Arabidopsis thaliana: one gene and its partner. The protein of the gene in region 2 interacts with the protein of the main gene of each other region in a pairwise test. Each region holds a gene or a part of one and is shown on either strand. Other genes may lie near its edges.

What was found.
Region 1: the proteins of UAP56b (region 2) and CSP3 interact in a two-hybrid assay, tested with the Arabidopsis thaliana proteins (one study listed by BioGRID).

The regions. Positions count from the first base shown.
Region 1 is NC_003071.7:7,762,646-7,767,229, forward strand, and holds CSP3 (cold shock domain protein 3), read right to left. Parts: upstream 2,632-4,584; 5' UTR 2,537-2,631; coding exon 1,631-2,536; 3' UTR 883-1,630; downstream 1-882. Other genes in the region: AT2G17860 (Pathogenesis-related thaumatin superfamily protein), read right to left, coding at 1-373; AT2G17880 (Chaperone DnaJ-domain superfamily protein), read right to left, coding at 4,531-4,584.
Region 2 is NC_003076.8:3,564,915-3,571,659, reverse strand, and holds UAP56b (DEAD/DEAH box RNA helicase family protein), read right to left. Parts: upstream 4,486-6,745; 5' UTR 4,408-4,485; intron 4,291-4,407; 5' UTR 4,272-4,290; coding exon 4,159-4,271; intron 3,942-4,158; coding exon 3,841-3,941; intron 3,383-3,840; coding exon 3,210-3,382; intron 3,107-3,209; coding exon 2,875-3,106; intron 2,796-2,874; coding exon 2,677-2,795; intron 2,508-2,676; coding exon 2,465-2,507; intron 2,346-2,464; coding exon 2,310-2,345; intron 2,226-2,309; coding exon of another isoform or gene 2,185-2,225; coding exon 2,087-2,184; intron 1,991-2,086; coding exon 1,934-1,990; intron 1,841-1,933; coding exon 1,656-1,840; intron 1,551-1,655; coding exon 1,406-1,550; intron 1,320-1,405; coding exon 1,236-1,319; intron 1,141-1,235; coding exon 1,077-1,140; intron 985-1,076; coding exon 974-984; 3' UTR 645-973; downstream 1-644. Other genes in the region: GLR2.5 (glutamate receptor 2.5), read left to right, coding at 1-429; SHN2 (Integrase-type DNA-binding superfamily protein), read right to left, coding at 5,609-6,098, 6,605-6,684. UniProt on the Arabidopsis thaliana protein: ATP-dependent RNA helicase involved in pre-mRNA splicing. Required for the export of mRNA out of the nucleus. In addition to ssRNA and dsRNA, binds dsDNA, but not ssDNA.

The DNA of each region.
Region 1 (4,584 bases), on a different chromosome or scaffold from region 2:
CTAGATTTTCGGCGCCGTTGAGTGTGAATTCGGCTAGTGTAGCTGGAGGGATTGCTCCTGCGCCAGAGCATTCGATTTGGGATGAGCCGCAGTCGCCGGTGACGCAAGTGAATATTCCGGTGATTTCGTTTTGGTTGCAGAGCGTGCGTCCCCATATGCGGCCGGACCAAGCGGCGGGTATGGAGATGAGTCGTGACTCAAAGGAGTTGAGGGAGAAACCAGTGGTGGGTAATGGAGCGGTGCCGGCGCCGGAGAGAAGTCCCGGCCAGACGGTGTAGTTACACTGGTTAACGATGGTGAACGTGGTGGAGGAACCACCATTGATGAAAAACATAATCGCTAAGAGAAAGCAAGAGACTTTAGCCAAATCCATTGTTACCGTTTGATGTTGTATGATTCAGGAGAAGTTAGGGATCGTGTTTATATAAGAGAATCGGGGATTTGTGTTATGGAAAGTTTCATAATATCAATTTTCCCTATATGAGTTTTGCCATTACAGAATCCGATACATGTTCACTCATCATTTCCTTTATTTCAATATTCTCATTAATACTTGTGAAATGGAAATTACGAATCAAGCTAGTATACTTGTTATCCTTTTCGAAAATTATACATTTTTTTTTTATAACTATTTGTTGAGGATCTCTTCCTAAATTCAAAACTAGAAATTTAGATAAAGGTTAGAGGAGGAAAAAGCTCTCTTTTGTTTGTTAAGGAAAAAGTTATTTAGTTTAAAGACTTTGATAGGAAAGAGACATGTATGGTGTTGTGTAGTAAGTTAATTGTACTGGAATTGGTGGGATTTTGTATTAACGGAAATAAAGGAGGTGTTGGACATTAGAAGCTTGTCTTTGTATATGTTAAGAAAGATCAAGTCACTTCCAATAACAGAACACGTGGGATCCAAATGTTTATATCCGAAAGATTCAGCTAATCACAAGTGTAATTAGGTTAAAAAAAACTAACGGGATTAACTTCATCATCTTCTTAAAACATCACGGTAAGTAGAGAAAAAGAAACCACGAACTGACGAACAGGCATAGGCACTACAAGATCACGCACACCATGTCTCTCCTCTGTTCAGGAGATTCTCCTAAAACAAGATCTAAGTAATCTAAAATATCAAAAGATTATTCTTAAGCTAATATCTCTGTTTCATCAAGAACAAGAAAAACAGCAATGCAGAGTATAAGTAAACCAGTTACAGGAAAATCTTTAAGCTCTCCAACAAAGAGGAACCAAGAAAGACTTGTGACTCATCTCTTTGTATTTACAAGTTAGTAAAAAAAAGTCTCAAATCTTGGTATATAACAGAAGTGACCATAACAGATTGAATTTTCAAGTCATACAATCACACTCATTGCAAGGAAAGACAAGAAACTGTAAATAAGCAAGCACACATATCATTCAAGATCTCAAACTTATGGCATCAACAAAAGCAGTGAACAGGTTGCATAAACCAGTCAAAAGAGTAATATAGAGAGATCAAAAACTCCCAAAACAACCATTCTTAAACATCCTAAACGACTTTAGCAATCACATTATAGTCACCAAAAAGGAGCATTAGGTAGATTTTAATAGAAAACAAAAGAGGTTTATGAACATTACTCTTCTTCTTTGCATCTTTTTGTTAAGCAACCGAAGTACATTCCCTCGCAAAGTGACCTTCCTTGCCGCAGATGAAGCACTTGTTACTGCCACCGCCACCTCCGCTGCTTCCACTTCCTCTCCGATCACAGTCACGAGCCAAATGGCCAGTTCCTCCACATTCGTAACAAGCACGACCACCACCACCACCACCAGAAGGTATCTTGCTGGTGCAAACTTTCGCAATGTGGCCAACTCCGCCACAGGTATAACAAGTGCTTCCACCACCTCCAACGTTTCCACCGCCGTTTTGCCTACAATCCCTAGCGAAATGTCCCACACCACCACACATGTAGCATCCATCACCGCCAGATCCACGACCACCACCTCCTCCGTATCTGTTTCCACCAGAACCACCACGACAATCCTTTGCCAAATGACCAACCTCACCGCAACTGTAACACGGACGACCACCTCCTCCTCCTCCGCCGCTGTTTCCACCACCGCTTTGCCTACAATCCCTAGCGAAGTGTCCCACATCACCACACATGTAACATTCACCTTCGCCGCCAGATCTACGACCACCACCACCTCCAAAGCTTTTCCCACCACTTCCACCGTCACAATCCTTAGCCATATGACCAACCTCACCGCAATTAAAACAATTACCTCCGGATCCACGGGAGCTGTTTTCCTTCTTATTAAGTGAACCGCCGCCGGGAGCAGTAACTTCAATGGCCTTAGTCTTTCCGTCGCTTCCAAGCGCGATTTCGTATTCAACCGATTCACCAAGAGTCAAGCTACGGAATCCATCGGAGACAATTGAGGATTGATGAACAAAAAGCTCTTCGCCGCCATCATCGGGAGTAATGAAACCGTAGCCTTTTCCATCGCTAAACCAACTAACTTTTCCGATAGATCTCGCCGCCGATTGATCTTCCATCGCCATTAGATCAGAGAAAAAGGTTAACAAAAACTCGAAGCACTTTGTTCGTACAAAGAGAGGAAATGGGTAAAATGAAAACCCTAAATTGCTACTTGCTAGATCTATTAACCCCAAATTGACCTTAAATTCGCCACGTCAGCTCCTTCTCTATCGGCGGCAGTTACCACGTGTGCATTTTGGATCAGGCCCATGGTTCACATAATGAAATGGGCCTATTTATGTAAGAGTTTCAAAAGAACTAAGCAAAATTGATAAGGTTTGATTTCACACTAACTTTAAAAAAAATGCTTGAGATGTTTTATCATCTCTTAACCATCCCCAAACTCTGGGAATTGGATGAAAATGCAGTCTATAATTATCACTTTTTGCAAAAAGAAAGGGATATTCATAGTAAATCTAAAGTAAATATGACATGATTTAGATTATTATGTTATACTTCTACTAGAAGAGAAAGTGTTTCACACTTTTGGTTGTTTTATCTAAACAATATATTATATTTTGATATTATATCTATTTTTATGCAACTTATTTTGCATCCAAATTTTCAATATCCCAGCTCACTTTTTTAATTCAATGAACCAATACATGGATGATATTATCCGAAGTTCAATTGTGAAGAAAAAAATGATTCGATCATATTTTCTTCTAGAAGCAAGAAAAAAAGAACATCCCAATTACTTAAACTAATTATTGGATATCTATCGTCTATTATATATATATATATATTATATATTTTGATAATGTATGGTGTCGAACATCAACAATCTTCTGCTTCCCATTGTTTATGGACAGCATAGCTTTTGTCATGACAATGCTATACTTAAGAAAATGACAAGAGTTCCTTTTTTTATTTATTTTTCTTTTAATGACAATAGTGAATTTATAATTACTTTTTTTTTGTTCACATTTAAAATAGTTATATATATGTGAAAAGAATATGAGTTTTTTTTTGTAAATATTATGAAAGATTCGTGAGATGCAAATGTTCCAGAACATGGCATGTTGAAACAAGAGTGACACATGGATTATGATGACGAGAAGAAAAGAACCTTGTCTGTCGTATTTGCTTAGCTATTTTGGTGGCCCTGGTGAAGGCAATTTAAATTGACTATAATTATTATCATCATAAACGTCATGTTAGTATAACTCTGAAATTCTGAGCAAGAAATTTGACCCAATGTTAACTCTTTGAAATACCGTTATTTATATAACTTTTACCCAAAAAAATTAGAATCATAAAATTAACCCATGCATGCATACCTAGTTGATTGCACAACGTTCAAACTAAAAATGTTTATAACGCCCATAGAAAAAACTCTCAGTAACCCTCCACATACACATATCACATACATCGGAATTCACGATATGCGATTGTAACGTCTCTAAAAATTACTCTTTTCACAGTCGCGTGACAGGAAAAAATTCACTGCCACCAAGGCAAACAACGTTATCGAACTTTCGATAGACTAAGACCATGAATGGTAACATAGACCACACCCAAAACCGCACCGCAACAGTATTAAAATCTTTACATATATATGTATTTATGTATTTTTGTTACTATTTGACATAGATCTTCTTTTCTTTTATTGTCGATGTCGGCTGATTGTGCGACTAGAAAAAAAACACTCCCAGCTTTTTAAATTAGGTGACTACAACATAATACAACTAAAATTTTCTAAGAATGCTATATGATTTCAGTATGTAAATCTTACCTGTAACAAAAAAAATCTGTTTCTCCAAGGCTACATACTATTGATTGCTAAGTTGGAACACTTTAAGTTATACATAAATTTTTATTTTCTTTATTAGATGGTAAATACTAAATACAGACTACTTACTACTTATGGATACAAAGGCTAAAAACGCGACAGATCCTACGTGGCACGATAAACCGTGTTGATCCTACGTGGCACAACCACCCAGAATCTCTGGGTTTGCTCTAATTACAACCAATTCAATGGTTTTGGACCAACTCGACACATCGAGTCAACTCGCTACCAGCACTGATCGGTTTCCCAATTCCGTCCACCGTAACTGCCGTATCCAGC
Region 2 (6,745 bases):
CTAGGATCTCCATTGGTGTCAGATATTTCAAGACAGATCTTGAACATAACAGAGGGAGATGCCATGAAAGCTATAGAGAACAAGTGGTTCCTTGGAGAAAAACATTGTCTGGACTCGACTACATCAGATTCTCCAATCCAGCTCGACCACCACAGCTTTGAAGCTCTATTTCTGATCGTCTTTGTTGTTTCTGTGATTCTACTCTTACTCATGTTGGCTTCTAGAGGATACCAAGAGAGACAACACAATGCTTCACCCAATCTACCAAATGATCAAGCCAATGCAGCTCAAGAAGAAGTCAATGAAGAAGGTAATGTTGGAGATCATATTGTGGAAGTCGACACAGCTTTGGTCCGTCGTAAGAAACTGACCTCAAACACTATACCCATTAGAAGAGTTGCGCCACTATCAAGGCTAAAGTCAGCATAGTCAAACCTAAACTCTAGATTTCTTTCACTGTTTAGATTGCATAATCATAATATTTAAGGAATCCTTTTCTCAAATATGTTTAAATGTATCTAAGATAGACTGATGCAAACTTAAATCTTACCTACTACTATTACATGAAATATTTGTTCATTGGTCAGCATAAAAGACGGTATTTACGTTCAGGATTCTTATCAACATTCAATAATATTCGCTTTGCATCAAACTAGATCAATTCACTAGGAACATTTAATCAATGATCAAGCCAAAGAATAAATCCTGAAATCTTAATATTTTAAAGATAACCATCACTAGTACAAAAAACAGGAGAGCTCTCAACTGTGCGCGATTTGGAGAGTAGCTCAATCTCATTTTTCAAGAGTTACAAAACGGTCTAAATATATGGAAAAACTTGTCCTCATAGAAAAGTCTAAAATAGCGAAGCAACAAACGGTGTGAGAGATAGTTGTGGACCTCCATGACCCCTTTGAACACCTAAAAGGTTGAAATCTGAAGAGGTTCGTTCCTCAGAGATGATGCTACTTGTTTAAGACGGCACTGAGCAAAGAATACGAAGAAGAAACTAAGTTAATATCAATACCAGACAAAACCAGCCTTTTTCACATTTAGTAATGGGATTTAAAACTTACTGTAAGTCGATGTATCAATCTGCTCAGGAAGCTCCTTTATATCGACCTCAAACCTCTCTTGAACCTGTCCAACATTTATACTTGCCACTTTACTAAATACCCAACTCAATATCATGGGGACTTTTTCCATGGAATTTATTAAAAGATCAAACACCATACCTGATTAAGGACCTCTGAATCTGAAGCAGATGCAACAAATGTGATTGCAAGACCCTTGGTTCCAAATCTACCAGCTCTCCCAACCTATCCCATACACACAGCAAAACGGTAAAGTTACAAGAGCCCTTTCATCAACGATCAAATAATAAATCTCAGGATTATATACTTACCCTATGAAGATAGGTATCCGCAGAATCTGGCATGTCATAGTTGATAACAATGTTGACACGCTCTATGTCAATCCCTCTTCCTACCAAGTCAGTCGCCACAAGGATCCTCTTGTGCCCTTCCTTGAAACTTTTGTATCGAGTCAACCTACATAACATATCGTATTAGGCTTAAGAATTGGACTCTCCATGAGGGCTTTAAGAGCAGGTAGGGTCCTTCAGAAACATTGAATTTTTAAGAGAATGTACAAACCTCTCTTCTTGAGACATGCCAGAGTGTATGCATATTGAGGGGAAATTGCATTCCACCAGTAACTTGTTCAGCTCCGCAGCCCTGCTCACGCTCTTCACAAAAATGACAACTTGATTGAAGTCCAACGCATCAAGAAGGTCATTCAACTTGCGATTTTTCTCCATCTCGCTCAGTTTGATGTAGTGCTGTTACAGTAGAACAGAAAAAAGGTCACTTAAGTATCAAACAACAACATATATTTACATTGAATACGAAGACCTCAAACCAGTTAAACGTACCTGGACAAGTCCATGAAGAGTCAACTTGGCTTCATCATCAACATATATTTCCATTGGCTGAAAGGAACAGATACCAGGTAAGAAGTATTAGCTAGCTTTCCTCAGGAAATGATTTACACTACAAAAGTGAAGATGGATGGAGATCCCCTGAACTGAGATCCTCGTCCACCTTTTCTCTTCAAAGATGTGAGTTTTGCTATGAAACATCAATATTGCTCGGAACATTGAGACCCATACGAGCACGATGAAACCTTGGGAAAACACAGTACCCCGACCCAAAACCCACCCACCACTGCTAGATTTTCAAAGAAATTGAAACTGAATAAAAGGTTAAGATGAAAGGAAATCCTGTTGTGCAACGGTCACTCAATCATACCAAAGCTACAGAGTCTCCACTCAGAGTTCTCAACCCCTACAAACTACCCAAAGCATTATTAGGTTGAGATCCTTCCAGAGATCAGTTGCAACTTTTCCAGGGCAGAACAACAGAAGATGCTCAAATAATGCTATGATCACCGATAGAAACCATACCAAAGCTAAAGAGTCTCACACTCACAGTCTCGTTCTCTAGAAACTACCCAAAGCATTATTGGATTGAGACCCATCCAGAGATCAGTTTCAGCTTTTCAAGGGCAGAACCGCAGAAGATGCTCAAATAATGCTATGATCACCCATAGAAGGCTAAAAATAGATGAAAACTAGAAGACTTGCAAAGGGAGAGAGAATTGGCCATGGAACATTACATCTTGCATAAACTTCTTGCAGACTGGGCGTATCTCTTTGCTGAGCGTTGCTGAGAACATCATTACTTGTTTGTCATGAGGAGTCATCTTGAAAATCTCCTGCACATCCCTTCGCATGTCTGGTAAAGACAAGTTGAAGTGTTAAAACATAAAATTATTCAGGGATCGATGTAATAATGATGTCAGAAATCAGCATACCAAGTGACTCGAGCATTTTATCACACTCATCAAGAATAAAATGCCTCACATTCTTCAAAGAGAGATCTTTCTCCCTGGCAAGTGCAAGCACTCGACCAGGGGTACCAACAACAATGTGAGGACATTCATTCTTCAGCAAGTCTTTGTGAATTTTAATGTTGACTCCACCATAGAACACCGAAACTTTTGTATCAGGCAGATAGGTACTGAATCGCACAAACTCATTGCAGATCTGCAAGTAATTTTCAGCATCAAGGCATAGTAAGCATTAGAGAACTTGAAGACGTAAAACACGACTATAAGCCAAGAACCTGAGTGAAACAAGAAGGTCATACCTGGTAAGCTAGCTCTCTTGTATGGCACAAGACAAGTGCAGAAACCTGGCCAGGAGATGGTTCAATCTGTTGTAGAGTAGACAGGACAAACACAGCAGTCTTCCCCATACCAGACTTTGCTTGGCAGATAACATCCATACCCAAGATAGCTTGAGGGATACATTCGTGTTGCACTGGTGGAGAACCAAAGAAAATAGCACCGAAGAAACCCTTTATAAGTAGATGATAACCTCCATATCTTTTAAATTGGTGGCTTTAGCACATGTTAAGCTCACTCCAAATCAATAGATCGAAATTAGCGTTTATTACCTGGAAAAAGTAATCAGTGAAACGTTAATAGACAGAAAACTAAAAAAAATTATTACAGGAAACTAAAGAAGAATTTAACCTTATAATCAACACAAAACTTTTGGATTTTGGACTTAGTTAGGTGATAAGCAAGGGACCCAGATAAAGTAAAATATCTTAAACCAACATATCTTCTCAAAACTAGACGAAGTACATATAATTAAAAGTCTCCGGACACCTAAAAAGCTTATGGAGAAGAAACTTCTGTAAATTCTACCATATCATTCAGATTCAGTAATAGAATGGTGAAAGGCAACAAAATTGAATTTTTATTGGTAATTACCTTCAGATGGATGTTCAAATCCTGAGTCAACAATAGCTCTGAGAAGCTCCGGTTTCAAAAGGAAGTCTCTGAATCCAGAACTGTGTATTCCCACGTACCCTCTGTCACAAAGAGAAAATACAATATGAGAAACACACGACAGTCTAATATTGGGTGGGTTTCAGGAATTATAGCAATGAAGAACTCAGTCAATTGTTATATGTTAAGCAACTAATTAAACACATACTGCTACTTGTTATCAAGTAGTAATCTAAGAATCGACAAATTTAAACACACAGTAGTATACATGAAACATATCGAGGAAACCATAAAACTCACTTTTTCACAGCTTCGCCGTTAACTTTGTTTCCAGAATCTGGGACCTTCTCGTCTTCTTCTTCATAGTCCAAGAGCTCCTCCTCGTAGGCTTCGTTGTCTCTAGCGTCTCCCATACTTCGCAAATTCAACAAGCTGCAGAGAAATTTCGGGTAAGATTCCAAATCCAAAACATTAACCTAAGATTCAGTAGGAAAGCATCTTCAGTTGGAACTTTGGATAAGCAATTGAGTTCTCGAGCGAGAATTTTACCTGAGATAAGGAGCAGAGTTAGTTGGATCTCGAAATCGACTAGGGTTTCGAAATCTCTGACTGAAGAAAATTAAATATCAACGCTGGGTTGGTGTCGTAAATATATATATACAGGGAGACTGGATAGGGTTGAGAATGGGCTTTACTTTAATGGGCCTAGAGTTTTTATGAATCGGCCTTTGTGCGCCGATTATTGAACTCAATGATGGGATCGAAGCAATTTTTTTTCTACGACGAATACGGTCAGGGTTCGTCTTGTAGGATAAGAACATTAGCCCAAAGATAGATTACAACAAATTGTTTTATGAGGATATTTTATTTCCTTTAATAATAACAACTAGATTTTTAACCCGTCTTATACCGCAGGGGACAATATTTTTTTTTTAAGTTAGTATATATAAAAGTTTGCAAATTGTATCTATCTATAAAATATTTTTATTTTATAGTTTACAATTGTTATTAAGTTACGTCCTGCTAAACTCGTCCCGCCAATCCGTCCCGTAAAAAAAACTATTTATTTTATTAATATTGATCTTATTTATGATATGTTTATGAATCATTGTCTAAATATTTTGTAATTTTGTAATAATTAATTGCTATCAAATATCTCTGTGGGTTGATGCGTATAATCGAATTGTTATAGTCATGCAAAAAAGCAATATCAAAAATGATAATTTTGTAATTTTTAAATGATGTTAAATATTTTGGAAGTTTTATTTTAGTAACTAATCGTGTAGTTAATGTAGAGAGATTTTGGGAATATAGTTAAATGTCAAATATTTAATTCGAAGATTTACTTTCTAATTATCAAAAATAATTATTAAATGCCAGTGGCAGCCACTGTAAATAAGTCTCAACTTGAGGTTTATTTTACAAAGTGGCTGCAAAAATGTATATGTATATATGTTTGTGTTTGAAGGACCAACAAAATTGTAGGCCCATTAATTAAAACAAGAGAATACTTAAATCGAACAATCTTTTATATCAATCAATACAACAAGCATGTATACTTTCATCACACAAAAAAATACAAATCTGTATATATTACATTTTTTTACATGTATTTTTGACAATTTTCTTACATGTATAATCGATAAATAAAGGAAATCCATCACATAATAAACTTTTTAAAAATATTAAAAACCGGAAAACAATGAAAACCCTTACCCCTTGTGGACTTGCAACAAGTTAAAGTCAAAAGTCAACTCCAATTCAGCAACTCCTCGATCATCTCCATAGCTAACTGATCCTCATCACTAATAATAGCTTCTTCTTCTTCTTCTTCTTTCTCAACGTTTTGTTTGTTCATCGTAGTCAACCCTAAGTCAACCGCACTTTCGTTGACTACGTTCCCAAGTTCGAGGCGCATGACCCAAGTCGGACTTGTTTTCGACCCGGCCCGTTTCTGCCAAACTCCAATGTGGGAACTGTCAGTATCAAGACGGAGACACGTCAAAGAAGGCGTTAGGTCTTTGCAGCTCTTCCTTAGCTTAGCGTTCAAAAGCTCAGATAATGACTTTGGTGACATCAACGGAGAGTTAACATCTTTAACGTGATCGGAGCCTTCCTCTGATTTTACGACAGGGAAATTGGTCTTAGCGTTTTGGCCGTTCATTAGAAGAGCCGCTTGGTCGTATGCTCTTGCAGCCGCTTCTGCCGTTTCGAAAGTTCCAAGCCACACTCTTCTCTTCCTGATTAATATATCACACACACGTGTAAATACTAAATACACTACATATGATGATATGAATTTTGAAATATAATTTTTAACGTTTTGGTATCATATAACATTCACGTTAAAAAAGGATTTTAGTAATTTTTATATTAGTTACAAAATCCAAGTAAACATTTCAATTAAGTTTTGAGCTGAAATCCAAACTAACCTTAGAAATTACCACATTTAATTTACAAAAATAATCAAAGAATCAAGTAGATGAAAATCAGTCGATAACTTAACTTTGATTAGCATGCATGGTTGGTTTTAACTTTTAATTCCTTTTAATATTTTGTAGATTGTTAAGCAATAGTAGAGCGTTTGTTTTAATATACAAATAAAGTTTTGATGAAATATACTAAAGAATAAAGATAGTAGCTTCATATGAGAAAAGCAACTACAACATTATATAATATGTAATCCTAAGCAGGAAAACAGTAAACAATGGAGATCATATATGTATATAGAGAGCCAATTACTTACAATAGAGGATGGCGAATCTCAGAGACCCAAGAACCCCATTGTCGCTGGCGGACACCTCGGAACTTCCTCGAATGTACCATCTTTTAGTTTCCTTCAAACTCTATATTTTCTGATTTGAAATTTAGGGTTTTAAGTTTCTCT